Elephas maximus indicus: one gene and its partners. The protein of the gene in region 1 purifies or fractionates together with the protein of each later gene. This does not show direct contact. Links are inferred from orthologs where the notes say so. Each region holds a gene or a part of one and is shown in the gene's direction. Other genes may lie near its edges. The genes, in order: NFKB1, IKBKG, FBXW11 and SP1.

What was found.
Region 2: the proteins of NFKB1 (region 1) and IKBKG purify together in Homo sapiens (affinity purification with mass spectrometry; 4 studies listed by BioGRID and IntAct, with this or other methods). This does not show direct contact. The link is inferred for Elephas maximus indicus from reciprocal best matches to the Homo sapiens genes NFKB1 and IKBKG.
Region 3: the proteins of NFKB1 (region 1) and FBXW11 purify together in Homo sapiens (affinity purification with mass spectrometry; 7 studies listed by BioGRID and IntAct, counting the BioPlex papers as one, with this or other methods). This does not show direct contact. The link is inferred for Elephas maximus indicus from reciprocal best matches to the Homo sapiens genes NFKB1 and FBXW11.
Region 4: the proteins of NFKB1 (region 1) and SP1 purify together in Homo sapiens (affinity purification with western blotting, with the first as the bait; 3 studies listed by BioGRID). This does not show direct contact. The link is inferred for Elephas maximus indicus from reciprocal best matches to the Homo sapiens genes NFKB1 and SP1.

The regions. Positions count from the first base shown.
Region 1 is NC_064823.1:50,252,800-50,259,695, reverse strand, and holds the start of NFKB1 (nuclear factor NF-kappa-B p105 subunit), read left to right. Parts: upstream 1-3,896; 5' UTR 3,897-3,981; intron 3,982-6,896.
Region 2 is NC_064846.1:1,893,296-1,900,892, reverse strand, and holds the start of IKBKG (NF-kappa-B essential modulator), read left to right. Parts: upstream 1-4,591; 5' UTR 4,592-4,756; intron 4,757-7,597. Other genes in the region: G6PD (glucose-6-phosphate 1-dehydrogenase), read right to left, coding at 3,033-3,160, 4,012-4,171. UniProt on the Homo sapiens protein: Regulatory subunit of the IKK core complex which phosphorylates inhibitors of NF-kappa-B thus leading to the dissociation of the inhibitor/NF-kappa-B complex and ultimately the degradation of the inhibitor.
Region 3 is NC_064820.1:190,963,554-190,970,988, reverse strand, and holds the start of FBXW11 (F-box/WD repeat-containing protein 11), read left to right. Parts: upstream 1-4,428; 5' UTR 4,429-4,612; coding exon 4,613-4,657; intron 4,658-4,663; exon of another isoform or gene 4,664-7,435.
Region 4 is NC_064822.1:108,873,505-108,881,436, forward strand, and holds the start of SP1 (transcription factor Sp1), read left to right. Parts: upstream 1-4,921; 5' UTR 4,922-5,005; coding exon 5,006-5,012; intron 5,013-6,052; coding exon 6,053-6,207; intron 6,208-6,533; coding exon 6,534-7,932. UniProt on the Homo sapiens protein: Transcription factor that can activate or repress transcription in response to physiological and pathological stimuli.

The DNA.
Region 1 (6,896 bases):
CAATTCCTGGTTCCTTGTTTTTTCACCAGTGTCTGAAGTGCAGCTTGGACTTCTTCCTTCAATACTATTGGTTCTTGATCACAAGCTACCTCCTGATATTGTTGAACATAGACCGATTCCATAGCAATTGTCCAAACCAAAAACCAAACCCATTGCCATCAAGTCAATTCTGACTGACAGTCAATCCTACAGGACAGAGTAGGACTTCCCATAGGGTTTCCAAGGAACGGCTGGTGAATTCAAACTGCCAACCTTTTGGTTAGCAGCCAAGCTCTTAACCACCTCGACACTAGGGCTCCGTAGCAACGGTAGTGAATATTCATTTAAACTGACAGAAAGATGCTAGTGTCTATAACATCAATGATATTCTCCTGTTAAATTTATTGATATCTCCATTTCTTTGCATTTTCATTGTCAAGAGAATAAAAGTCTGTATTCTACATGTGATCTTAAAAGAAAGATGGTTTCTTTGCCCTTTTCTATTAGGTTTATTCTTGATGATACAATCCATTGTAAAAATCACTTTTGTCCCGGTTGCTACATAAGAAGTCATTCTTTCTGGCTTTATTTGAGGAGCAGAGATTATATCTTCTTCTTTTGTAACCACTTATAGAGACTAATTGAGCACTCTCTCTATAAGATCTCAATTAACTGTGCAAACACAAGACAGAATACAGCAAGCATTTTAATGGAGGTGTAATGAAATGAAATATTTCCCTATCAGTAGGGAGAGATGCCACAAAGATAAGTGTATGGCCTAGTGGTCAATGGTGCAAAAGTTTATTTCTCTTAAAATTACGAGGAAATTAATTTCAAGTCCTTCACCTTCAAATAACTGCTTATAGTAGTACAGGCCTTCATCTCCCTTCAATCCTTTCTAGAACTCTGTGAGGTACGGCTATAATGTCATGCTTATTTTACCAGTGAGGAAACTGAAACTCAGACAAAGTAATTACTCAGATACCAAACCAAAAGCCAAACCCGTTGCCGTCGAGTCAATTCTGACTCATAGCAACCCTGTAGACAAGTAATAGACAAACTACTACTCAGCCAAAGTCACACAGGTAATTCAAGGCAAAGCGAGGACTCCAACTCAAGTCTGATTTTGAAGCTAGTGGAATCTTTCCATTTTGTCATTGCTCCTATAGCCAAGAACTGTGCCCCAGGTGTTCCTAAGCATGTTGAGTTGGCTCCATGACCCAAAGTAAACCATATGCACCCTTTATCGAAATACAATTCGCTCCTGTTCTATCCTCAAGATGGACCATGGAGTTTATGATTCTGTATTTGTGAGTCTCCGTTGCACACTATACAATTCCTCTTTATCAATGTATACACTATACAGATCTCAACCTCAGCATTCTCCAGACACCAACATTTCCAAACAGGGTTTTGTGAGAAGGGAAATTCTTGTGGTCCCAAATATTTTAGTGACAAACAACATGACGGGCCTTTTCCACAATCTCAATGCCTAAAATCCCGCACTTAGGCTTTTTTTTTTCCTTTGTAAATAAATGATAAATGTAAATATCCCTTGACACTTTAGGGTGAATGCATTTGTAGGCAGCATTCATGGAAGCAAGTATGAAGACAGTTTAGACAGAATTTTGAGAAACAAAGTAGCAATACAGAAAGGTTAACTGGTGATTAGAAAAGAGTAGACTAGAAACTTTTACAGTTTTGTCTGCTTCATACCTCCACCCCCAATTTTAAGTTCATTCTGTGGGATCATTGAGAATTGAAAATCTAATTTAATCATTTTCACCAATTAACACCTTTAATATTCGTTCACAAGAATGTCACAGTGGCTTCACACTTGTAACAATCCTGTCCCTCCATCATTTCTCCAATGAGGCTGCCAGCCCTGCTGAAAGAAAAGCGTGCGAGCTCACCCCTGTCCCATGAAGAGATACAACTCTCCTAACACTTTATTGTCTCCTGGGAGTCTGCAACCTTTGCACGCATGTCAGTGGCAAAAATCACTTCACAAACTATGTATCAATTGACTAAAATATAGTATTGGCAAAATTTATAATAATATCCTGTAAATAGTAACACAGGATTTATAAAAATTCATTAAGCCTTTAAAAAAAAAAAGTTGCCATGGAGTCGATTCAAACTCATGGTGACCCCATGTGTGTCAGAGTAGAACTGTGCCCTGTAGGCTTTTGGACGGCTGATGGATCTCTGGGTGAATTCTAACCTGCAACCTTTCGGCTTGAGCTCAGTTAACCATTTGCACCACCCAGGGACTTATGAATCCCCTGAATTCCAACTATTCACTCTAGAAGCTAAAAGAAGTAGCTTAAAGGTAAATTGTTGAGCAATCCAAAGATCACAGGGGCTCACCTCAGACCAGTTTAATCCCAATCAAATGATCCTCTGCTCTTCTGCCAAACGCTTCAGGGGGAAACAGGCCTGCAAGGCAGAGCGGAAACTTGCTAGGGGCAATCTAGTATCTTGCAACACTGCCTGGTTGTTACCTGATTCCTGACATTTTAAAAGTAAATTTGCAGAATTGTCACTGAACTCAGTAGTGGGAAAAAAAAAATTTTTTTTTTTAAAGGTGCTCTAAAACACACATCTGTTTCAGCTCAAGATGTCTTATCTGGGGAGCTAATCCACACCAGGGCATCCCCAGGCCCGTGCCTAGCACAATGCCTGGCATGTAAAGAAGCTCAAATGACCAGTGAATGCTGGTCACTGACAGGCTCATCTGTGGTTTCTAGTAGCGGTCCCTTCAGAAAAACAAACAAAACAGAAAATTTCCCTGCCAGATCAGTATGTATTTATGGGCTGTGACCGGAACCATTGCTACCACCATCACTATAGTCTATCCACAGTAATTATTATAAAAGCCTAGCAATGCCCTGTAGATGAAAGTTCTGGATAACTGCCATATAACCAGGGGGTTTAAGATCTCACTAAAAAAAAAAAAAAAATTAAAAGTAGATGTTTATACTTCACTGGAAACAAATCAATTATAATATTGAAATTCCAGTTTAAATCTGAAGAGACGTGAGTGTAATTGAGACATACTTAAATGGAACACACAGATGAGATTTATTTTTATAAACGGTATGCTTGGATCCTTGCCGACCCATCCCCTCCAGCGGGTCGGGCCTGCGCTGAGGGGCTCTATGATGGTCCGACTCTAAGAACTGCACAGCCTCCGCCTCCGCGGCCTCCGCACCGCCTGCTTCCAGGGACAATCCAGCCCCGCCGGCGCTTCTAGGGGGCGTCCCCACTCGGGAGCGCCCAACCGGCAAGTGGCAGCCCCGCATGGGGCCCCAGCGTCCCGGCCGCCTCCCTCACGCCCCTCGTCCTGCGCCCCGACGCGGCCCAGGAGGGCGGGAGCCGAATTAGGGTAGCGAGGCCGGGCCGGGGGCGCGCGGGGCCCCCAGAAGTGCGGGCTTCCCCCACCCCCGGCGGCGACCCCACCTCCCGCCTCCGCCGCGTGCGCGCGTGTGTCCGTCTGTCTGTCTTCTCTCTCGACGTCAGTGGGAATTTCCAGCCAGGAAGTGAGAGAGTGAGCGAGAGAGAGAGCAAGAGAGAAGTGCACCAGCGAGCTGGGGCAGGAAGAGGAGGTTTCGCCACCGAAGCGGCCCGGCGACGCGCTGACAGCTTCCCCTGCCCTTCCAGTCGGTCGGGCTCCCGCCGCCGCCGCCGCCCACGGCCTGCGCCCTGCCGCCCGCCCCGCTCCGAGAGCCCCTCGCCACCCAGGCCGGAGCCGCCGCGGCTGGGAAGACGGCGCCGCTGCGGCCCGGCCACCGCGCGCCCTGCGCTTCCCTCCGCCCGCGCTGCGGCATGGCGCGGCGCTGACTGGCCCGGCCCGGCGAGACCGCGCGCCCTCCCGCTCCTACCCGCCCCGCACCCGGACAGCTTCGACTCCGGCCTCTTCGTCCCCGAGCCCCCAGGCCCGCGCTGCCCCGGACGGGGAGCCCACAGGCGCAGTGAGGCCAGCGCAGACTCGCGACCACGGTAAGCCAAACTCGGGCCAGTGGGGGCCACGCTAGGAACGTGTGGCCCGAGTCCCGCCACCAACCCACCCCGCACCCTCTACAGCCGTGCTCGCACTTCCTCATTCCTGCGCTAACCGCTGGGCTACACCGTAGGAAGAGGTTGACAGTAGTTGCGAAGCACATGGGATTGGCGAGAGAGGGGAAAAGACATCCGGACATCGCAGGCGCCGATCGGCCGAAGGGCCGCAGCCGCTGGGGCCGTCCTTTCCCTTCCCCTCCATGAACTCCAGCTGGGAACGGGAACCTTAGGGGAACTCTTTGCAAACTTTTTATTTAATCCTCACCCCCACCCCCGTTTGGGTGGTGGAGAGAGGGTTGAGATGCACTGTGGCGCGGAGAAGACTGGGGAAGGTGGTTGGTGCAGTGCTGAACCAGATTTCACCTAAGGGCCTTTCCATAAAATGAAAGCAGAAGTGCATGTCAGTCGTCTTGGCTTGGAAAACCCTCCCTAACTCCTCAGAATTGTATAGGAGAGGCTTTCTCTTCCTTCTGTTTCTGAAAGAAACCCCATTTCACATACCCTGCACACACCCCAACCGGGATATAGTATATTCACCTACTGTAGAACCTGTACGTTAGTTTTCAAAAATAAGAAGGGCCTGACATTTGAGAGGGAAAACAGACTACCTACTTAGATCACTTTTGAGGCCTCTTGATTTTGTAGAACACTTGGACAGTGGCACGTGCATAATCTCTAAAACAAATGTTATAAATAAAGCTTATCCCAAATGCAAGTTTTCCTGGGGTCTTTAAAATACACCCAGATGAGGATGTTTGCTCTGATTCATTGGTCTATCCTGAAACTTAAATAGGACTTAATGCAACAGGATTTGATTAGCAAGGTTTCAGACCTATTTATGGACTTTGTTAAGTAGGGTTTTTCAGTATTGTATCTTATGAAATAACCATATTTAACGTAAAGATTTTGTTATAAAGCTTATGAACGGAAAAACGATTATGGATTACTAAAACATTTAATGGCTTTGGCATAAAAATGTTCTTCCACCAACTGGTCATCTTTGATAAACACGAAAGCTTGGGATCTAGATGTTCGGTGATTATTTTTCTAGCAAAATTCTTCAACTGAATATTCTTGAGTAGTTTACGTGATTGTTGGTTAAAACTTTAACAGGAAAACTTGATTAAAACAAAGACCTTAGCTGAAGAATATTGTTTTCCTGATTTTAATATTGTGCTTTCTAGAGATGAATCCTTTTACCATCTAATGCACTATAGAAATCGTGTAAATAACTTAAAGCAAAAAAAAAAAAATTTTTTTTGAGCTTCTGAGATTGGGGAGATAGGAAATAAGAAATTTGTTTCCTGTAGCATTTTACATTTATCATGTAACTGAGTTGCTAAAATGAAATGAACATATATGATAAGGGAAATGGGGACTCTCCTGAGATGATTCATCCTTGTTGATATACCTGCAACTCCTAATGCCCTCCAGAGCTTGTTCAGATAAAATGTCTTCCTGGGCCAAAGCCTACTGGACAGACTGGAACACAAAGGAAGACTCATTACATGTAGATTTAATGCTGAAATTAAATACTGCTTGTTGTGAGTAGCAAACCACTTCTAACAAGTTTGAAAGACTTTTTAAAGAAAACAGTACAATCCTATTAGGACTTGGTGGTAATTTGAAATGCTGTTATCTTTGCTTTGAAACTTCAATTTATTGGTATTTTCTGCAGTTTGCACTCACTTGGCCTGAATAAATGCCCCTGTTGTTCAAACTCAGTTAGTAAATACTGGAGTATACATACAAAATAGTCATTCCCCTTTGTAAGCACTACTTTGATCTTTGCACTTCCTTTTTACCTCTTAAACAAGATCATCTGTGATGACTGAATTGCAGTTGCAGGAAGCTCAATTAGTCTGAAATGAGGCAGGATTTTAAATTCAGTAATCATCTAGCTCATATGTCTCTTGTCATTGTTCCTTTGAACAAATTGAAGGTAGTTTGAGAAGTTAATATCTATGTACGGCTTTTTAAATTATTATTACTGGTTTCAAACGTCCAGATAATGATGAAGTGTGTTACTACTTAGACTTTCAGGGATTGTTCATTGTGGTAGAAAGGAGGTCCAGATAAGGAATTGGCGGCTACTTGGATCTTGGAGTATCATTCAGTCAGCAAGGCCTTAAATGTTTTACCTAATTTATGAGAGGTATTCCCCTGTTCAGAAGAGGTGAAAGTTCTGGCTTCTGGGGGGAAGTGGTTACTCATAACCTTCAATTAGTTTGAACTTGGGAGAAATAAGAACAGTAGTTGGCATTTTAAAACAGTAAGTTAAAAATTATGTCTAAGTTCTCATATGGATTTTTGATAAAGCACTATAAAAAAAATACCATCTTTTTCTTCTTCAGAGTTCATGAGGAGTAAATGTGCTGCCTGAGCACTGGCGAGGGCCCAGTGGGAAATGTACTTAGGACTGCTGAGTAGTTTAGCCTGTAAAGATTCAAGTTATGCTCTCCTGGTCTGCAGATCTAGCTGGAAAGGAACCACATTAACAGGAATGAATGTATACAAATCAGTGTCTTACAGAGTTTCTGGTTAATTTGTCCTACCTTTTATAGGAAGGTGTCTTTTTTTTGGTTGGTTGATTGGTTTTCTGTTTATAATATGAATCCTATATGTTTTGATTGTTGGAAGAGGAGAAGGAAGAATAGAATTTTAGGACTGGAGGAGACTGTAAGACGTTTTGTTCCTGTTCCTACGTTTACGTCTGATCAGACTTTTCTCTCAGTTCAATGACAACTGCTTCTTGGTGACCAGTAAACCACACTGGAGCTATTTACCCTTGTTGCTGGGAATTATTTCTCATTTGCGTTCTTGCACTTCCCATAAATACTGAACTCACAGTGTTC
Region 2 (7,597 bases), on another chromosome or scaffold:
AATGTCCTCCTGGTTCAAGTAGGGAAACTAAGGCCCAGAGAAGCAAGGGGATTGCTGAGGATGCCATGGTGAGTCCACTTTGCTGAGCAGATTCCCAGTCCTGCTCTCTCTCACTCCCTTGGCACCCCGCCCCAATGCCGTCCGTGTGGGAGAAGATCCACTAGCCAGCCTCATGGAGCTCCTATCAGATGGAGGAAGATACATCCTTCTAGGTCCAAGGTTCTTTCCCCCACGCTGGTCCATAAGGAGAAACTGGTTTCTTTCATTTGAGCTTTCTGGGCTGGGATCCCTGCCACTGGGAAAGTGAGCTCTTCTACTCCCTTCCTGGGTCAGGGGTGGGGGTGGGGGTGGGAAGAAAGGCCTGAGAAAGGGGAAGTGGCCACATAGCAGGGAGACAGGGGCTCAAAGCTCGTTTTGTAACTCTGTGAGGCAGAATCAGGCTGCCCCCAGGAAGAAGCTGCAGTGTGGGTTTGGGTTGGGTAAGTGGGTGCAGGAGGCAGGAGGGGCAGAGCATGGCCACATGGGTCTGACCTGCTCAGGTTCTGGGCCCGCTAGCCACTGGCCTCCTGTCAGCTTCTAGGTCACATCCAGTTTGCTCTGACTCAGGGCTTTGCCTCTGCTCTTCCCTTTGCTCAGCAAGTTCCCCTGGGGCCTCGTGCTGCAGACCTCAGTATCAGGTGCCTCCCCCTCCCCAGGGCCCACCCTGACCACACCTCTCAAGGCCTCTGGCCCCCTCCCAGCCCTGTTTGTTTCTCCTGTCACAGGTACTGCTCTGAACTCACCTTGCGTCCCCAGCCTCCCATAAAGCACAGGGCCATGAGGGCAGGGATTGTGGCTGCTGTGGTCTTGGTGTTGCCCAATGCCTAGCACAAGGCCAGGGACAGCAGAGGCCGGTGACGGCTACTTGTTGAATGAGTGAGCAGAGAACGCAGTTTCCCAAAGCACCACCCTGCCTACCTCTGCAGCACAGGATGGGAGCTGTTCCAGGTGCTATCAGAGCACCCCGGGTGGATGCCCCCACAATGCTCCCTCTAGTCCTTGCTCCAAGGGAGGACCTGCCCACCCTGCTCCAGTCCCCTCAAGCAGGAGAAGAGTCAGGAGAGAAACAACACAGGCTCTTAGGAGGACCCCTGGCCCTGCACTCCACGCTGCGAAGCCAGCACTTCCCATCTCTGCTTTGGAACCTCTGGCTGTTGCCCCTGGGCAGAGGAGAGCAAAGGGGAACCCTGCTGGTTGCGTTGGAATAGCGTTGCCTAACCCCAGGCTAAGGAGCCCTAGTGGTGCAATAGTTAAGTGCTTGGCTGCTAACTGAAACACTGGTGGTTTGAACCCACCCAGCGACTGGGCGGGGGGAAGATCTGGCAATCTGCTTCCATAAAGATTACAGCTTAGAAAACCCTATGGGGCAGTTCGACTCTGTCACAGAGGATTGCTCTGAGTTGGAATCGACTCGATGACACCTAACAACAACAGCCACCACCACCCCAGGTTGGCCACAGGCGAAGACAGCAAAGAGCCATAAAACCAGCTCGGCAGAGCCTGTGGACCCTTGTCATTCATTCAGAAACGCTCAATTGATATGTGCTGAGGTCTAAAGCCCCAGATCACACAGCCTATCTGGATGCTGTCAATGATGAGACCCAAGACTCTACAGATGAGTCTTAACCCATCTGTGTGGGACCTGGCAAACTCTGTTGGTGTATCCTTGCAACAGGCCAGTGTGGGGATGGGGAAAGGAGAAGAAAAAAATCCCGAATTATTTTCTCTTTGAGCCTGTTTCAGGGACTAAGGGCCTCACAGCCAGGATACTAGGTGTTAAGGTTTGTGGCTGATGCAGATATGACTCCTCTAAGGGGACCGTGTGCTTTGCCTGGGTGGGGGTGGACAACACCCACCTTTCTCAGGTTTTGGGGTTCTGGGTGAGGCAGAGGGCAAAGCCCTTTTCTCTCGTACTGGCTCTTCTCCTAGAGTACAGCTCATTCTAGCTTGCTTGCCTTCTTGTTATTTTCGGCTCTCCTTCCCAATTTCTGACCAAAGACACAAAGGCACAGAGCAGGCTCTGTAAAGGGTGGCGGCAAGTTGTTCTCTGTGAACAAAGAGCTGCCAAGTGCCTCCAGCACGAGGGGGAAGGCAGCCTGTGGTGTGAGAGTTGCAGAGCACTGCCCACTCTGTACGGCTCTAGCTAGTTTGGGTAGAACTCTTGCTCAAGATTACATAATCAGTTAATGGCAAAGATGGCCATATGAATGCTAACAGGTTCTTGGTCACACTCATGTTTAAGTCAAGAGGCAGCCCTGGCTGCAGGTCTAGCAAGCCCCTGCACATCTCACGCAAGGCAGATCTTATCTGCATATAGCACACTGGATAGGGGCTGTGGTCCGGGGGCCACAGCTTTACTAGGACCACCCCCTCGGCCCCCCAACCTCTTCCTTACATGTGCTATACCTCTGCCTTTATATTGATTCTTTGTCCTTCCCTATCAAAGCAAAATGGCAGTTCCACAAACTAGACACTTGGGGTGGGACAAGGAACAGCTCTTTAGCAGGCCTTAGCGGTTGGGGAAAAGATATGGTATGAAAAGCAAAGCTGAATGTTTGTCCCCAGGGATGATGAGGTGGTAGAAAGAGGTGATGATTGGGCCTCAGATCTTTCCTCTGGAACAAATTAACTGTGTGATGTTCATCAAGTCACCGACAAGTTTGAAAAAGATGCTCCCAGAAAGAATAGCTTCCCCTGTCTGCGGCTCAGTTTTCTCAGTGGAGGGGGAGGAAGTCCCTCAGGCCCTTCCAGTTTCAGGTCTACTTTCAAGGTCTGAGCATGGATTTAGAAATGCCTCCCAAGTGTCGGTACAGCAAGGAGTGCTGTGATGACAGTGGTGCCTGGGCAGGTCACGGTTATAAGAGTGAAACCTCGCAGTGCCTGAGTGGCCGCTGCACAGTTAGTTGGGATAGGTCAGGTGCAGAGCCAGACGATGCCTTGGGCAATGTCACACAGTAAGTCTGGCTTCTGAGATGTGGCTGTGGGAGACTCACCGAGGCGCCCATGATGATGAATATGTGTGTATCAGACTGGTGGAAGGCATCGCCCTGGTACAGCTCTTCCCGGAGGATCCCGCACACCTGGGTCCGGCTCAGGGCCACCTGCTCAGCCATGGTGTTCTCTGGGGAAAGAAAGGCTCGTTGACAAGCCCACAGAGGAGAAGCACCTGGAAGGGGGCCTCTAGGCTCTCAGCAGGCTGACGCCTGGTTACTGAAACCACTGGCTGTGAACGTGCCCGGGGCGGCCAGGTTGGGTTAGAAACTCTTGGCTCTGGGCTCTGGCCATACTTTCCCAGGCTCCAGCCATACTCTCCCAGGCTGCCTTCTTTCAGGGAGTACATTCTGGACCTCACACAACACGATCATGACCCTTTCACTCTAAAATCCTGCACTCAGGCGGGAACTCATCAATGCGCGGGATCCTGGTAAACTTAGCGGATGATGGAGTCCGCTTCAGCTCTACTGCTGCTAACCTGGGCGACCCCGGGCAAGTCCCCCCTTCTCAGGGTCTCAATGTCCTCACTGGCCCGATGAGAGGGGGGTTGCATTGGACACTATGATCTGTTAAGGCCCTCTCACTCGATCCGCTACCAAGTACAGCAAATACCGCCAATCCAAAGGACGTCTTGAGGTAGCGAGCAGCACGTCCTTCCGCTCTCTCGGTCCGCCCGACTCGGTTACCTGTACCGCCTCGCTGTCGCCTGCAGCGCTCGCAGCCCGGGAGTGCGCGCTCATTTCCGGGGGCTGCGCCCCGCGAGCCCATTTAACCGGCGGGGCGGGGGCCTCAGCTGAGCTGATGGGCCTCAGGCGAGGCGCGCGGGGCGGGGCCTCGACAGGCCCCTCCCGCGCGGGGCGGGCTGGGGCGACGGTGCGGGGGTGGGGGGAAGAGGACAGGTGCGCGCGCATCCCCGGCCCAGCTCGCGCGCCAGCCAACCCCCCCCTCCACCCCGCTCTCACTCCGCCCCTCAGGCACCTGCGCCGGCCGTCAGGCCGTGGACTGGCTCCCGTCCCCGTTGCGGCTGCTCCGCATCACCGGCCGCCTCTCTAGGGGTGAGGCTTCGCGCGGCCTGGTGCAATTCCGCGTCGTTCACCGGAGTCCCCATCTCCAGCCCAGCCCAGCCCCGCCCTGACATCCTGGTTTTCCCGCCAGCCCCCAGGCGACCATGAGCCCTCGCGGAACGCTCGACTTCCGCCGGCAGTGTAACCACGCCTCCTCTGGCTCCTCCCCCTGGCTTCGGGGCAGGGGTTCTGAAGCCCCGCCCCCTCACGGACCGGTCGCCTGCTCTCGCGGGTCAAACCGGCCCTATTGGTTGGCCTCGTCTTGGCTCCTCCCCCGATAGGGGCGGGGCGATCGATCGCCCCGGGAGGCGAAGGGAAGTGGAGGTTGCAACGTCTTGGAAAAGGGCAGGTGGCTCTCATCGTTTGGATTCGTGGTCCGCGGGACCTACCGAGGATGGTGGACTCGCGCTTTCCTCGGTGCAGGCCTCGGCCTTGAGGGAGGTGCCCGTGCAGCTCTCGAACTCACCGGGACGGGGGCTTGCCAGATTCACTTCCGTATCCCACGGCTCCGACACAGGAAGCCGGAAGTGCAGGTTTCGGCTGCAGGAGAAGGGAAGGGCGACCGCTGAGCCGGGACTTTGTTGGAGCGCTGGGGATTGTAGGAGCGCTCGCGCCCCGCTGCCCCTGCCCTTTTCGCATCGGACCGACTCTGCTGACAGGTGTGGTCCTCTTCCCTGAAGACAGGGTACCATCGGCGGGCGCTCCGCCGCCTCTCCTAGACTCCCCGGGTTTTCCGGACTGCCCCCTCCTTTTGGGCCCCGGGCTGGTTCCTGCCGCGCGCTTCTAGAGCACCGGCCGAGGCAGGCGGATTCAGGATCCAGGCTACTTCAGCGGCTAGCGGGACTGTTTTGGCACCCTGTCCCTCCGCCGCGGGGTCTGACTAGTGTGAAGAGGACTCTTTCCACTTAGGAGATATTTTTTTTTTAGTTAAGAGATATCTTCTGTCTATCAGACTTGAATGCATTTGAGGGCGTTAAGTCATTTAAAAACACCTCAAATATAGCAGCTAAATGTCTTACCTTGTATAGCTCAGTTTGGTCGCTTTGCAAAAACAATTAGTATCTGCCGAACCTCATCCCATCCCTACGACCTGAGGATGAATGAGTTGTGCCTGGCTTGTTCAAGGAACGGCAGAGCAGGCCAGTGTAGCTGGGGCAGCGTGAACAAGGGAGGGAATAGTTGGAGAAGAAGGAATAGGGACCAGATGGGACAGGGCCCTGTAGGCTGATGTAGGGACTTTGGCTTTTACACCGAGGGCAGTGGGGAGCCATGGCATGGTTCTGAGTAGAGGAGGAACATGATCGGAAGTACCTTTTAGACTGTTTTTGCTGCGTTTGGGAGAACAGACTTAGCGGGGCAAGGGTAGGAGCAGGGTGACCTGTTAGGTTATTGCAGTTATCCAGGTGAGAGACCATGGTGCCTTGGGCATTTTATTATGGACAATTCCAAAGATGTACAAAAGTAGAGAAAATAGTATAGTAAATCCCATGTACCCACCTTCCAGCCTCTACAATTATCAATTGTGGTTAATCTTGTGTAGTTTATACCCTCCGCAACCCTTTCCCATTATTTTTATTACTGTTAATAACACCTAATGAGATATAATTCACGCACCATACAACAAACACCCTTTTAAAGTACACAACTTAATGACTTTTAGTGTATTCCAAATTGTACAACTATCTCCACTACCTAATTTCACAACATTTTTATCACCTCAAAAAGAAACTGTGCCCTTTAGCCATCATCCCTCATTCCTCACCTGCCTCCTCCCAGCTGCTGGTAACTATAATCTATTTTCTGCATCTACCTGTTCTGAATATTTCATATAAATGGGGTCATACAGTATGTGTTCTTTTGTGATTGGTTTCTTTCACTCAGCATGTTTTCAAGGTTCATCCATGCCAAAACATGTGTTAGTACTTTAGTTCTGTTTATGGCCAAATCATATTCCATCGTATGTGGATGTGGAGCTCTGACGGTGCAGTAGTTAAAAGCTCAGCTGCTAACCAAAAGGTTGGCAGTTTGAAAGTTCGAATCCGCCAGCTGCTCCTCGGAAACTCTAAGGGGCAGTTCTACTTTGTCCTATAGCGTTGCTGTGAGTTGGAATCGACTTGATGGCAGTGGGTTTGGGTTTGGTTTGGTATACAGATGTACTAAAAAAAAAAAAAAAAAAAAGATTTTGTTTATTCGTTTATCTGTTGATGGCATTGGGATGGTTTCCAGTTTGGGGCTGTTGTGAGTAATGCTGCTGTGAATATTCACGTGTGGACATGTGTTTTCATTTCTCGAGTGTACTCCTAGGAGTTCCCCCATTATTTTGAAGCAAATTTCAGGCATCGTATAATTTCATTTGTGAATATTTGGGTTGCATTTTTCTAAGAAAGGATTTATTAAAAAAAAACAAACTTAACTGTGATATCCTTATCACATCTAACTTAACATTAATTGCTTAGTGTCATCAAGTGAATTTGGGGATGCATTTGATAGGACGTTCAGATGGATTAGATGTGGAAGAAAGGAGTCCAGAATGATTCCAGGGTGTCTGTCTTGATAACTGGAGAATGGATTTGCCATCAGCTGGTAACGGGGAAGGCCGGGTGGAACTGGCTTTTGGGAACTCTCAGGGGTGCAGTTTTAGATCAGTTAATGTTGAGAGCACTATTAGATATCCAGGTAGAGATTCCGTCTGGCCTGGAGATCTCTGATTTGGGGAGCCATCAGCGTTCAGTGATGGGGCTTAAAACTGTGAGACTAGATGGAATTCTCAGTGGAGTGAATGTAGCTAGAGAAGAGGTCCCAGGACAGAGCCCTGGGGCACCCCAACATGAAGGGATGGGGAAAAGAGGAGGATCCAGCAAAGGAGCCTGAGCAGGAGCAGCCAGTGAGGCAGGAGGGGAACCAGGGGAGTGGGAGGTTCTGGAAGCCAAGGGAGGAAGGTCTGTTAAAGAATCGGGGGGGAACCCCAAACCTACTGCTGTCGAATTGATTCTGACTCATAGCGACCCTCTAGGACAGAGTAGAGGTTTCCATAGAGTTTCCAAGGAGCGCCTGGTGGATTTGAACTACAGACCTTTATGGTTAGCAGCTGTAGCACTTAACCACTATGCCACCTGGGTTTCCAAGGAAGAGGGAGGAATCTAGAAGTTCCTCCTCCACATAGTCCTCCCGGGCAGGATTTCAAAGGGCTTGGGCTGCTCTCCTGCATGACCTACCTCCACTCCACAAGAGAATACAAGCGGCTCAGGCTGGCTCTTTGCCCCACTGTCTCAGGCTGAAGGCTCAGTTTTCACTTTCTGATACCTCAGCACCGATCATATGCCGGGGGCTCCTCACTCCCACCCCCTGCCCCCAGCTCCAGGGAACGCTCACCAGGCTCTGAATGGTTTAAAAAAAATGTTTTTTGATAGTAAATCCTGGTGGCTTAGTGGTTAAGAGCTACCACTGCTAACCAAAAAGCAGGTTGAGTCCACCAGGCCCTCCTTGGAAACTGTATGGGG
Region 3 (7,435 bases), on another chromosome or scaffold:
ATCCCACTAAGTGTGAATATTCATATTGTATCAGTTAGGGTCCAGAAACTACCCCATTAATTTGAACAGGGAAAATTTAACTAAAGAATTGTTAACTAGTAACCGGGATTAAGTACTAAGGGGTAAAGACAATGGTAAAGAATACAGAATAACAGTAATAGGGAACACCCACTACCTTTGGGGCTGTGGTAGAGTATACAGGGAAGGAACAACTTGGAAGAGCCCCCATGTCCAGCCTCCACCACAAGGCTGAGAGTGTGGAGAGAGTGTGATTATGGTCCACTGAATGGTAAAGTTTGCTGAGGTGCTACAGGTCAGGGCTGGCAAGCGGGAAACTGCCCACTTAGGTGCTACTGAACTAACTGGGAAGCCACCCTCTGGATGTCCCAGCCACCTGTGTGTGTGAGGGGGTGGGGTGAGGGTGTGGTTCCACAGGCCACTCACCGCTGTGTACCACAGAGGCAAGAAGGAACAGAAACCATGCTGGAACAAGGAAGAGAAGACCCTTCATTCTGCCATGTCCCTTAGGGCTCCCTACTGACAAAGCTTAACACTATGTCAGCTGGCAGAGGAGAAATGTTTACAGGGTCCAGCTCAGTATCTCAAGGCATGAGGCAGAGTGAATATGGAGCTGAGCAGCTGTAAATTGATAACACACACATATATATTCTGCTGCAGAAAAATCAATATATGTGATTATGGAGCACTGTCCTAGACCCCCACTGAGAATGTTACATTATATAGGTATAGTATATATTCCACACTGCCTTTTTACAATCTAAAAAATTCTGAAACATCTCTAGCTTCCAGGATTTCTGTTAAGGGATTGTGAACCAGTTCAACTTTGTTGTTAGCATGTCTTATAAATCCCACTGCAGGGCATTCTGAAAAAGTAGGGGAAAACATGCCTCAAGGTCTTCTGCCTTTGTCTATCATCAAATCTAATCACCAGCTGGTATCAAGCACGAAGCAATAACAATACCTGAGCACCTAAGTTCTAGTGTGAGAAGAGAAAACGGTGATAAGCCTTGGCTCAGCTTCCTTCTTACACAGCTTGGGTAAGAATCTATCTCATGCATGCGCTTTTACCCCAACTGAGTTCCTGGAGTTTGTACAAATAAGATCAGTATTTTTTCCTCTTAAGGTGGGGTATGTTTTTCATAAAGGGACGCTATCTCTTTATAGTTCCAAATTCAAATACCTGTATGGGTTAGGCATGTAACTTTAAATGAGTGAAGCCTACAGATATAAGAGAACATGGAGTGATGATGACTGTGGAAAACTATAGGATAAGTATGTGCTTCATATGAATAAGGTAGTGGCTACTTAGTCCCTGCAGATTACCATGCAGATCGAACAGTCAGATGTTCTAATTTTTTTGAGAAGCTAGAAATTCAGATTTTTAAAATGCTGTCAAATTTTGAAACAATAAAGACTGTAGGATAAACAAACGTATTAAAACTGGCTGCCACTGAGTAGATTCTGACTCAACAGCAACCCTATAGGACAGAGCAGAACTGCCCCTAAGGGTTTCCAAGGCTGTAAAATTTACGGATGCAAACTGCCGTATCTTCCTCCCGTGCAGGAGCTGCCACGTTCAAACTGCTGACTTTTTGCTGAGCAGCCAAGCACTTTAACCACTGTGCCACCAGGGCTCCTAAAACGAACATATTAGAGAATTTTATTCAGCTCATGACTTCTACTCCTTGGGGTTAGGTCCTGCAGCAGGCACCAGGGCCTTGGGGGACTCGGTTGGTTGTTACATTGGTGGACCCCCAACAAACCATGCATCTCTGTATTCATACTTTTGTAGAGCCCCTTTCTACACTGACTCTGGGGTTTGGCATATGACTTTCTTTGGCCAGTGTGGCATTAGCAGGTGGGGTGCAAACAAGTTTGAGTAGCCTTTGCTCACTGGGCATTGCATCCTCTTGGATACTAGTCCCCATCCAATAAAGAAGCTTGGGATAGATAACGAATGGAAAAAAAAACAAGTGGAAAAGAGAGGCCCTTGAGGATAAGAAGTCATTTTGAATGAGTTTACAGCTGAATGCAATGCAGTCACAGGAGTAACCTGCTTACACCATGTGATGTAAAGTACTGCCCAGTCGACCCACACAATTGTAAAAAATAATAAACCACAGTTATTTTAAACCAGTAGGAGCCCCTGGGTGGTGCAAACGGTTAATGTGCTCCACTGCTGAAAGGCTGACGATTCAGATCCACCCAGAGACACCTTGGAAGAAAGTTTTGGTGATCTACTTCTGAAAAATCAGCCATTGAAAACCCTGTGGAACACAGTTCTACTCTGACACACATGGGGTCACCATGAGTCAGAACAAACTCCAAGGCAGCTAGTTTTTATTTTAAGCCACAATAGGTACTAGAAACAGAGGTTATTCTAACCCTGTTTTACTAACAAAGTTCCCAAGGCCCAGAGAGGGAAATGGGCCTGGTGATACTCATACAGCAAGTTAATGGCAATAACTTTCTATTTCTGTGATCTTTCTTCCTATTGCTTTTCTTTCAATTCTGTTGGTGGAATGCATCAGGTAAGGACTATGAAACTTCCAGCCTGCAGGAAACTTACACTGTGTCCTACCTGTATGAAAAATTATTTTATACATGCATGGAACCCTGGAGGCTCAATGGTTAAGAGCTTGGCTGCTAACCAAAAGGCTGGCAGTTCGAATCTACCAGCTGCTCCTTGGAAACCCGATGGGACAGTTCTACTCTGTCCTATAGGGTCACTATGAGTTGGAATCAACTTGACAGCAATGGGCTTAGTTATTTTATTTTTTTTAAGCACATATATGTTGTTGTCGTTAGGTGCTGCTGAGTCAGTTCCGACTCCAGGTACAACAGAACAAAACATTGCCTGGTCCTGTGCCATCCTTACAATCGTTGTTATGCTTAAGCCCACTGTTGTATATATATACATGCATAAAAATTACTGCAATAACTTTATCCCTGGAAATGGTAAGATTCCTAGGTCCCCTCACTTTACAGGTGCAGGAAATGCAAAAACACTTGAGAAAGAGAAAAGCAGCCTCTGGCATTTGAAAGTTGGTCTGGTACGATCAGGCCATGATGTTACTCAGCTAGGCCCTGTGTTCTGTTGAACATAAACAATTTCACAGAACGTAAACTTCACACAAGGTCATTCTGTGACCATGATAAATCAAGACAAAAACAAGACCACTCACTCCACAATCTTGTCTGAACACAGATAAAATATGAACACTGTCCAAACCACAAAAAAGACTAAATATCCCTCATCCTGGCTAAGGGACTGTTGCTTCCTTACCAATTACAACTTTAGCCTCAGTCTAGGCCTTCCCTCCCTCCAGAGAATTACCCTCATTTCCTGACAGCGACCAATCCAGAGAAAAGCACTCACCTCTTTAAACAATCACCTAACCCAGTTCTTACTGAGATGCCCCACCGTTTTCTATGGTGTGCTATCTCCCTCTCACCCAACTTGTGTTCCTGGTGGTCTGTGGCTAAAGGGCATTGACAGACCTGATAAAGTTCACACCCAGTAGGAGGCAGATTCCACTAGGAGTCTCTAGGTTTCTAGCTGTGTTCCTTTTTAGCACCCATCACTCTTCCGGTTAATATGTCTTCCTCTCACTAAGAATTAAGTTCCATAGTGAAAACAGGGGCCTCGTCTGCCATGTTCAGAGCTGATTCCAGTGCCTAGAGCAGTGCCTGAATGCTTAACAAATATTTTTGGAACGAATAAATGAGTAAGAGTGGCTCAATATACACAGGTTCCCTTTCATTTCTCAGCTCCTCCTAATTCAGGCTGCACATCGACAGCAGCACAGCACATCTCCATTAACTTCCTCTTCCCCAACTAAATCTTCAAACTCCTCACTCCTGGGATGCCCACCCTCTCACAGCTCCCTCCCTTGCCCGAGTGTCTCTTGCAAACTGGTTCATTCCCATAACTGAGCCCCAAGACCATCCTCTCCTAACGCAACCGAGAACCAACCTGTCTCCAACTTCTGCCCCTACCACCACACATCCGTGTACCGGCCGCGCCTCTACCTAAGCGTCGAGTGGGCACTGCGGCCACCGACCGCGCATGTGCGGAAATTGGCCGCACACGCAGGATCTCTGGCAAGTGAGGAGTTGCCTCGGAGTTTCCGTCCGGGTCTGGGCAGCCTTGGGCTGTCAGGAAGTCGGGAGAAACTAGCCGGAAGAAGAGCCCGCGCGCACGGGTTTCTGGGACATGTAGTCGTGGCGCTCCCGAGGCCCAACCCTGAGTGATCCCTTAATTCTTCAGGTCTGTACATCCCACATGCACAGTCCAGTGCTACTTTCAGCCCAGAATTTAGCTTCGGGCTGCCAGGAGAGATTGGCCTGGCGTTGGCTTCCCGTTCCCACAACACTTTGCGGGGGCCGCGGCGCCTGCTGGGAGCTGTAGTTCCCGCTCTGCGTACTGCGTTCGCCGAGGGGGAGGGCGAAGCTGCCGGCGGCCCGGGCGGGCTGGCAGCTAGAGTGGGTGCGATAACCGCCTGCGCTTCTGCCGCCTCCGCCGTCGCCTCCTCCGCTGGGGCCGTTCGCTGCTGCGCGGGGAGAGCGAGGCGGGGCCGCCGGGGCCGCCATGGAGCCCGACTCGGTAATTGAGGACAAGACCATCGAGCTCATGGTGAGTGCGGCCCGCTGGACCGACCGTTCTTCCGTCCGTCCGGCTCCAGGGCGGTCCTGCCCACCTCAACGTACGGCGCGAGGCCGGCCCTAGCCCTTCCCCGCCGCCTCGGCCCCAGCCTGGGCCTCCCGCCTCCCCTGGCCTCGGGCCCGGCGCGGCTGCTCTGGATCCCTCGAGATTTAAGGCCGGACCTGGCCCGGCCCACTCCATTCCCCTCATTTCTCCCCTTCCCCTGCCCCGTCCCGTCTCCGGGCCCATCTCTGGGGCGACCCTCGCTCGTTTATGCTCTGGCCTCAGCTCACACTGCTCGCTCTAGCACCTCATTCTCTTCTTGGAAGGGCATTTTTTTCACCCCTCTATTTCTCTGGCCCAGGCCCGCACCGCGCTTGCAAGACCCACTCGGGCCGAGTGAGGTGGGAGGGGGTACAGAGGAGATGGTCAGGGCCGCGGCGGCCTCCGCGCCCTAGGAGGGGCCTCCGCGCCCTAGGAGGGGCCTCAGCACCCTGTTCCCCAGCTGGGGCTGTGTGGGTGCCCAGATAGGCCTTACAGGGCTGGGGAGTGAGGAGCTCTCGGGTTTGAGGCTGTGACGGATGGGCGGCCTCTTTCCTGGGCCCCTGTGGTGTCCGGCTGCTCGGACAAAGGGTTTCCTCACCGGCGGAGAGGGACGTTTGCATAGCCCTGCCTCAGGTACCCTGGATTCCATCCCCCAGGAAAGGGAAACCGTAACTTCACGCTTATAGAGCTGCTTTGTGAAATTAGGGAGGAGGCATCGTCCTTATCACTGCCGCCAGTTCTTTCTTCTCAAAAAAAAAAAAGAGAAGAGAGAGAATCCTTGGCCCCTGGGGGAAATGATCACTCTTCTGTTAGAAACCATGGGCAGCAAGGCCAGACTGCCTGACCCGGGGATACACTCAACCCCCTTCCGCCTTAGGACTTGGAGCCAGAAGGGCCTTTTAGAAACAGGACCATGAGAGAGTGGCTAGTAGAAGTGAGGAATTTGCTAAACGGTGGATGACTTGGTGGAAGGAATAAAACATGGCAGGTATTACCTACTAATTTGAACATTAGGGAAATCAAACGGCTCTGGAGAGTTGGGGGGAGGAAGTCTTTGCCTCAGCGATGAACATGCCCAGTGTTTTTTTTCCTGTGGAAACCTTGACAGTTTCTTTGTATCTCTCCTCACACAGTAACAGTTTTTACTCCAGGGTTGAGAGGAAAGGTGAAAGAATCTACTTAACCTAGCAAAATGTTTTCCTAGCCAGATTTTCTCCAGTGTGGAAATGTTTTTTGAGTCAGTGATTCCACTGGGTAGGGTCGGTGACATCAGAGCCACTTCCCCCATTTAATGCTATAAATAATAAATGGTGATACTGAAAGTCTGTTAGATAGCCGCTTGGTTTCTGTGGATGATGGTATCTGGGGAGTTGAGATGCATGTTTTAAAAATGGAAGTACAGTAGCATAAATACAGAGGCAACTTAATATTTGCTGTCCTTTGCATAATTCACACAACTAGACTTCCCCAACATTCTTGAGAACTAGAGAAACAAACCAAACTCTGGTAGTTTCTGATTTTTGTGTGGTTGTTTTCAAAGGGGGTACTGTCAATTGTGAGTTTTTATTTTCACTTATTGAGTGATTTTTCCTTTTCAGCATAATTTATCAAATTATTGTAGTCAAAAATTTGATATTCTGCAACTTTTGTGGTAGATTATTTTGGTAAAATATCTTAATTGAAATTACATGTGTAGTATGCTTAAGGATGTGCTTATACAATACATGTACCTACAACTGGAGGAATACTTCATATTGAAAAATTGTAACTTGGTACCTCTTTGAAATTGGCTATTCTGAGCTCCTTCCATTTCCATTCACTTAAAAAATAACTAAAATGTCTTTATTTTCGAAGGGATTAGGAGAAATACAGTGAAACCCAATTCACTGTCTTTGAGTGCAAGGGTAAAAAAAAAAAAAAAATCCTGGTCCTAAATTGGCTCCCTTCCGTATTCATAAGATAAAAAGTTTTGATATTGTATGATAGTACTTGTCGCGGATCTGGAAAGAGATTCCAGTCTTTCAAGGACACTATAAACTGAAATTCTTAGAATATTTAACAGAGAGTATAGTAGTAACGGTCAGTTTTAAAATGGCTTTTCATGTAAGAATTTTGATATTCCCTGAAAGGGATATCAGTTAATACTTAAACAACCCTTCACATGAACATGCATGTATGTGTTTTAGTATAGTAGATAGCACGTTTAGCTGCTGACTGAGTAAACACAGGGTCAAATGTAGGAACGGTAATGCCTTAAAATCTAATTGCACCTGGTTTTGTGTATTCACTGCATTTTAGTAACAGTTTCTAGAACTAGGTTAAAAACATTTTTTACATTGGTCTCAAAATAACATGATTGATGGAGGGGAAGGAGTTAAAGTGATGATATTTTGAAAGCCTAAAACATGAAATATTTTTAGATTTTATGAGTCATCTTCAATACTCAAATATTTGTGATTGCGCTGCCTGTACCAGTTTAGTATATAATGGTTAACAAGGTAACATCCACTCGACATCCCAGAATGTGCTATATTAAAAAGAGAAAGCAGACTTTTTGGGTCCCTCCATTTCTAAATTTTCATCCCTCTACTTTCTTTGATAATTTTTCTTTTTGCACTTTTGATAAATTGACTAGCAAATAAAACCGGTGATAGCAGAATAGTTAAATCTTCAAAATACAATCCCTATTGTGACTCCTACCCCCTTGTGAGGCATGGGCTAATA
Region 4 (7,932 bases), on another chromosome or scaffold:
AGCCCCCTGGCCTCTCCCTTTGCTTGCTCTCTTTTCTTCCTTCAACTTCTGCGGTGGGTGCCCGAAGAGGGTACGTCTTTTTCCCAGACCTGTTGACCCTGTCGGGGACACTCTCCGTTTCTGAGAATGGGAGACTGGGAGTGGTGTAGCTCTCTCCCCAACCCTGGATTCTGGTGGAGTCTCAGGGCTACTCGGCCCAGGAGAGGAAGGAGAAAAGGAAACTGCTTCATTTTTGGTTAAAAGAGAATTTATTTTATTTTTTTAATGCTGAATTGCCAGGCAGGACTCCAGTCGCCCTCGGGGTGCAGGGTGGCTGGGAGGAGTGTGTGTGTGTGTGTGTGTCTGTGAGGAGGGTACATTGGTAGTAAGGACTGGCTTCCTCTCTCCGTGTCTTGCTCTTGCTGCAGCTCCTAGCTCTGGTGAGCTCTGGCTCCCTGAGGAGTTTGAGTATTTTGGGGGAGAGAAATGTTTTGATTTTGTGTTTGTTCCAAGCAGGAACCCCTAGGGGTCAGATTTAATGTGCAGAAAAGCACTGTTTGCACTGTTTATGGTCTAGGCTGGTCTCTGACCCCTCTGGGTGCCCTGAGCCTGTCTTCTCTAGCTCTCAATTCTGAAGGATTTGGGAATTTGCAGGCTCAGGAATTTCTCTTCCTCTTCTCCACTAGACCTCAAACCACCTTTATTTGGCAAAGACTCTTCAAGGGTCAGAAACTATCAGCTAGGTTTACAGTCTGGGCTGTTTTCTTGCAGACCTCTTCAGATCTTAAGAGTATCCTTCAGAAGAGAATACTCAGGAAGGCTGGGCCAGAGTTCAGCTCCAACAAAAACTAAATTGTTTTCTTGACTGTTTCTCCCAACTGTCACAGAAAAACACATCCGGCCCTGCTCCTGCCCCCCCTTTCTTCCTCCTCCTGGGCCTTCAGGATCATCACAGCCATGGACTGAATGAATGCCTTCCTAGTACAGTTTAGGCAGGCATGAATCACAATGCTTCTCACATAAGGAAACAAAGGCACAGAAAGGGTACAGGATGAGTTGTTTTAAATAGTAATAATAATATCTGTAGCCAGGTTTTGGACTTCCCAAACAAAAAAAGCCTGCCTTGTTACAGTTCTTTTCTGGATTAGGCTCTTGCCTTTCCAGGGCCTTTAAAAGGCTGAGGGATGTGTGTGATGACCCATCCAGCCTCTACAGTCACCATTGCACTGCAAACGGTATTAGCCTACTAATTACAGACTGATGAGAAAAAAACTTAGGCTTGTTTTCTTGTTACAGAGAGCTAGAAAGTAAAGGTTAGAAGACTGTTTAGACATTATTATCTTAAGTCACTATTTTTTTTCTTCTTAGCTTTAGTTGAAAGTTTGCTGAAAGGCAAGGTTATAATGATGGTATAAAAGGAGGGTTTTGATCATCTGTATATTTTAATTTATAAAATGTTCCCAATTATCAGATAATTACCAGATCCATAACTGGGAAATTGATCAAAGCTGAAGAGTGGCTTCAGAATCAGGAAGAATGATTTATTCCATTGTGTGTCTCGAGACCTATTCAGGATGGTCACTACTAGGCCTCTCCTTTCATTTAACAGTGTTTACTGGGTGTCAACTATATGCTCTATCTTGAGAATACAAAATGAAAAGACATCATCTTTGTCCTCAAGTTGCCTAGTCTAGTTGGGGGACAATGGATACTTAGATACTTTTAATGGAGGTATGTAAAAAAGATATAGTGGACAGAATATTCAATACCTGGGAGTGGTAGGGAAGACTTCAGAGAAGTTGTACTTATCAAAGATACGAATAAGAGTTTGTCTGGTAGCCCAGAAGGAAGACGGGCTGAGTGGACTGTACTTATAAAAGTCCAGACTTTGAAGATCCCAGAAAGCATGGCTTTTGGGGGAAATTTCAACAAGAACAAAGTGAAGGGTAAGAGAGTACAGTGGACAGTAATGGATAATGAGCCTGAATAAGTGAAGGGCTGACCACTAAGAGACTTCAATGCCATGCTGCTGTGTTAGCACTTAGTATGTGTGAGGCTTACTACATCACAGCCAGGCACAATTCAAGTTCATAGGAATCACATTGCTCTTTAAAGAAAGTCCTTCGGAGTTATTTAAATGATCTTGCAAATGGTTTTGTAGACAGACACTGGAAGGATTTTGAGAAGACCTGAAATAAGTTTATGCATTAAAAACAAATTTTTTTGGTTTGGTCTAAAGAAATTTTTTTTTGCTACAGTTTTTGCAGGAGAATTGGACAAGATGGATCATGGTTCATTTGCTCTCAGAGACTATCAATAAGCAAGGATATGTCAAAGACATTCCTCATTGGTCAGGTGCTGAATTCTATCCAGTCCTAGGAAGAGCAAAGGGAAAGAATTGTGAAAGGGAGGATGGCTACTGAATTTGAGTCTAAATGTAGATCTTTTTCTCAGTACCTGGGAATAAAACCAAACCCTAGTTTCCATTTCAGGCATAGACTAGCTTATAAGAACTATGGGAAAAACAACAAAAAAACCCACAGGCTTTGGAGCTAAAACAACAGGCCATAATTTAAGTGTCTGAGCCTCTCTCTTCTCATCTGTAAAAGGGTATGGCGTCTCTTATTATCAGTTAAAAGGATTAAGTTAGACAATATATTTGAAGTGTTTAGAGAGTGTGCTAAAAATAGTTCCTTTCCCCTTCCCCAGTAAATTTAGGTGTGGTCTTTTGCTGACTATACTGAACAGCTGTTAGAATCTCCTGTGTTTAGTTTACCAAGATGAGTAATGCAGTTCTTCCCTTAGTGTTTCTCCAACTCTGGATTAGGAACTAATCACTTGAAAAAACGGCATAAAAATGCATATTCTTAAACCTCATCCCATACTCCACTACAGAGAATCTGATTTACTAGGTCTGGGGTGAGGCCTAGGAATCTGCTTCTTAAAAAAGCACCCCAGATGATTGTTACAGACTGATATTACATTTTGAGAAACTTTGATGTTGGTTAAGTGATAAAGTTTGTAATAAAGGTGTACAAGATGATGCCATTTCAGCTGCCCTGAGTGTATAAAAAAAAAAAGTGTATAGGTAGGTTTTTCTCAGGAGATAGAAAGTAACAATGCAAAAGCAGTTTTCTTCAAAAACAACAACAAAAATTGGAGAATGTCCTTATACAAATGGTTATATAAGGCATTGTTTTATTCACTTAACAATTTGTAGACTTTTTTTTGCGGAACTGTTCTGGTCTGGAATCTGGCTCAACTTAAAAGCTTTGTGACCTTGGGCAAATTATTTAACTTTTCAGCTTAAGTTTCTTCACTTATAAAATAATATTAACACTACTTAATAATATCGTTCTTATTAAGATGACAAAAGGTACGCAAAGCACCTAATCCACTTTGGCACCTAACACAGTAGGCATTCAACAATCACTTCATCGCTTCCAAGCCTTGCCCAAAGGACCAGAGCCTAAGTTCCTGCTTTCAAAGGGCTTAAAATCTTTTAGGGGAAATTCAGACTTTAAAACAGGAAAATATATAAAGAAGTGATAAGATAAAAGTGCTAAAGAGAATGACCTCATTACGTCACTTACAAGCCACCCAGTCGTCCTCCACTAAAACAGGGATAAAGAGGCAAAATGGAGGCCAGAACTTAAGGGGCCTCGGGCAAAACCATGTCCTTTAACTTTCGTCTCAAGAAACAGGAACTCGGCTATCTTGCTTTACACTTACGCGGTATTTACAATTAAGGGGGTTAAAAAAGGAAGCCGTTTAGGACCTTGGGGAGGTTCTCCAATGCACTTTAGCCCCAAAGAGAAACTCTTGAAAAGTTAACCCGCTGCAAGTAGCTTGTGCTTTCTCTGCGGGAACTTAATAGTGTTTGCTAGAGTCTCACAAAAACCTTGTAAATTGGTCAGCTCCGTATTAACTGATTTTGACAGTGCTGTCGCCAGATCTCACCTCGCCTACACTCACAGGGCTTACACCCACACTCAGAGGCATTCGTCGGCCTCGGGAGGGGTGAGAGGTACTTTCTAAGGGCGGTTCAATGAGGACTCAAACGAGCCGGGGTGGTGGGGCAGAACTGCGCGCTGAAGGGACTTCTTGGTCTTTGCCCTGACACCTGTGGAGCTACAGGGTACTGCTTAAGTGTACCATCTAATCACTGTAAAAGACGTCCCCTAAGGAGGGCCAATATGGCGACGAACTCCTCTTGGCACAGCCCTGTTCCCTTCCCCATGATGGGCGGCTCTAGTAACGCCCATTGGCCAACTTGGGGGCGGTCCCTGGCCTACTGCGCCCCTTCATTGGGCCGAGCGATTGAGGTAGACGCCAACTCTGCTCTGCCCCCTCCAGGTTCCCGCCCCCAGAGTTCATTCGGCGGATAATAGGGTTTTAGTCACGTCAATATGAGTCCTGATCTGTCTCTTTTCAGTGTCTATCCAATCATGACTTTTCTGGCTGCCCGCCTGAATTCTGATTGGTGTTGATCAACTTCATCCTCTCCCGTTCCGGCCTCTCCTCCCACAAGGACTTTGCCCAGGCATGTCCAGAATTCTGGTTGGTCGTTGTTCTGTCACTCTTATCAAAACTCTCCCTATCGCTACCGCTCAAGGAGCCCGCCTGGCAGTTGACTGGCTTCCCTCCAAGCCTATCATCTCCAGCTCCCGCCCATTTTCACTTCCTGCATCTTTCACTGGTTTTTAAAACTGAGAGGGCGGCATTTTGGGGCGGATACCAGGCACGCACTTCTGTCTTACACGCCCTAGAGAGCAATTGAGTCGTGCTATTGGATACCCTGCCCGCCTTTCTTCTACAAGTCCCGCCTTTCCCCCTCCTTCATTGGGCGGGGCAGCAGTGAAGGGGCGGGGCCTAGGCCGAGCTTGTGGCGCGCTGCTCCCTCCTCCTTACCCCCCCCCTCCCCGTCCGGTCCGGGTTCGCTTGCCTCGTCAGCGTCCGCGTTTTTCCCGGCCCCCCCCAACCCCCCCGGACAGGACCCCCTTGAGCTCGTCCCTCAGCTGCCACCATGAGCGGTAAGGATGAGTCCACTCCAAGCTTAGGGGTGGGAGGGGAGTGAGGGGGCGCGCGCGAGGGCCGACCGGGCGGTCCCCGCCGTGAGGGGGGGCGGGCGGGAGGCGGCGGCGGCGGCGGCCTTGGTCCCGCCCGGGGCGGAGGGAAGGGAGGGAGAAGGGGCAGTGGCGGGGCCTCGGAGGAGGAGGGGGATGGGCCGCCCGCCCCGGGGGAGGGGGCAGCGTGGCCTCGCCCGCCCCCTGCCCGCCCCGGCCACGGGGGACGGGCCTTACCCCCCACTACTCGACTGCCCGCCTGAGGCTCCTCCCGCCGGGGGCTGGAGCCGCGGGGGCGGCCCAAGCCGTGCAGGCCCCGCCCGGGCCAACCGCCTCTCTGGCCCGCCCTCTGGTCGCCGCCTGCCCCAAGGCCCTCCCCCCCCCCTTTTTCTGTATTTTCCCCTCCCCCCCATCGTCCCGCCCTTTCCACGCCCCTCACCCCGAAACCGCCCTTTCTCCCTAGGGCCCGCCTTCTCCCCGCCCCGAAACCTGATTTCTAATCCCAAGACCCCTTTAGCTCCTTACCTGTATTTACTAATGTGTCTCCACTCACATTTTTCATCATTTATCTTTCCCTTTTCTGTTCTCTTGTTACTTTCTATGTTTGTATTTTTTTCTTTTTCCGTGTCCTTTAACACTAATTTTAGCAAGCTTTCCATCCACCCACATGTTGTTTTTTGCCTTACCTGGCCTTCTCCCTTTTTTCCCCTGGCATGTTTTTTATTTTAAAACTCTTTCAACATACCCACAGTCCCTCACATTTCCTATCCCAAAAGCATTTTTTGAATGTTTTCTGAGTTTAATTTTGTACAAAGGAAAATTGAGGCCCAGTTCTGGCACCATAGAGCCTGGTTCACGTCATATTGTCCTACAACTGCTCCCCCCTAATCCATTTTCTTTCAACAGGCACCTTTTACCTTCCTATTAGTCATTTCTGTTTCATCATAATGTTCTTTTACCCTTTTTTTCTCCCCAATTTTATGTTGTTTATTTTTATTTCATTCTAGAACAAGATCACTCCATGGATGAAATGACAACAGTGGTGAAGATTGAAAAAGGAGTTGGTGGCAATAATGGGGGCAGTGGTAATGGTGGTGGTGCCTTTTCTCAGGCTCGCAGCAGCAGCACAGGCAGTAGCAGCAGTGGAGGAGGAGGAGGTCAGGTAAGTGATGATTAGAGATAAAGTGTGGGGAATATGTTGAGAGCATGTAAATACTCCTAGATAATTGTTTTAACTACTCACACAAAAAATTTTAGGAAAGGACTAAACAGTTTTACAGATAGAGGAAGTAAGTATAGAGAGAGAGAAATGACTTGGAGATCCCCAGAGATGGAAATTGCAGCAATACAGATAGATTGGTTTTTTTGTTTCTGGTTTTTAGTCGTTATTTGTCTGCACTATTTTGTTCTTTATTTGTTGTGCACTGTCCTCCTAGGCTGGCAGCTGGGTGTCAATAACTCCTTTTCTCTTCCTTGTTTTCTGACCAGGAGTCCCAGCCATCCCCTTTGGCTCTTTTAGCAGCAACTTGCAGCAGAATTGAGTCACCCAATGAAAACAGCAACAATTCCCAGGGCCCAAGCCAGTCAGGGGGCACAGGTGAGCTGGACCTTGCAGCCACACAACTCTCACAGGGTGCCAATGGCTGGCAGATTATCTCTTCCTCCTCTGGGGCTACCCCTACCTCAAAGGAGCAGAGTGGCAGCAGCACTAATGGCGGCAATGGCAGTGAGTCTTCCAAGAATCGCACGGTTTCTGGTGGGCAGTATGTTGTGGCTGCGGCCCCCAATTTGCAGAACCAGCAAGTCCTAACAGGACTGCCTGGGGTGATGCCCAATATTCAGTATCAAGTAATCCCACAGTTCCAGACCGTTGATGGGCAGCAGCTGCAATTTGCAGCCACTGGGGCCCAAGTGCAGCAGGATGGTTCTGGTCAAATTCAGATCATACCAGGTGCAAACCAACAGATTATCACAAATCGAGGAAGTGGAGGCAACATCATTGCTGCTATGCCAAACCTGCTCCAGCAGGCTGTCCCCCTGCAAGGCCTGGCTAATAATGTGCTCTCAGGACAGACTCAGTATGTGACCAATGTACCAGTGGCCCTGAATGGGAACATCACCTTGCTACCTGTCAACAGCGTTTCTGCAGCTACCTTGACTCCCAGCTCTCAGGCAGTCACGATCAGCAGCTCTGGGTCCCAGGAGAGTGGCTCACAGCCTGTCACCTCAGGGACTGCCATCAGTTCTGCTAGTCTGGTATCACAAGCCAGTTCCAGCTCCTTTTTCACCAATGCCAATAGCTACTCAACAACTACTACCACCAGCAACATGGGAATTATGAACTTTACCACCAGCGGATCAGCAGGGACCAACTCTCAAGGCCAGACACCCCAGAGGGTCAGTGGGCTACAGGGGTCTGATGCTCTGAACATCCAGCAGAACCAGACATCTGGAGGCTCACTGCAAACAAGTCAGCAAAAAGAGGGAGAGCAAAACCAGCAGACACAGCAACAACAGATTCTTATTCAGCCTCAGCTAGTTCAAGGGGGACAGGCCCTTCAGGCCCTTCAAGCAGCACCACTGTCAGGGCAGACCTTTACAACTCAAGCTATCTCCCAGGAAACCCTCCAGAACCTCCAGCTTCAGGCTGTTCCAAACTCTGGCCCTATCATCATCCGGACACCAACGGTGGGGCCCAATGGACAGGTCAGTTGGCAGACTCTTCAGCTGCAGAACCTCCAAGTTCAGAACCCACAGGCCCAGACAATCACCTTGGCTCCAATGCAGGGTGTTTCCTTGGGGCAGACAAGCAGCAGCAACACCACCCTTACACCCATTGCCTCAGCTGCCTCCATCCCTGCTGGCACAGTCACTGTGAATGCTGCAC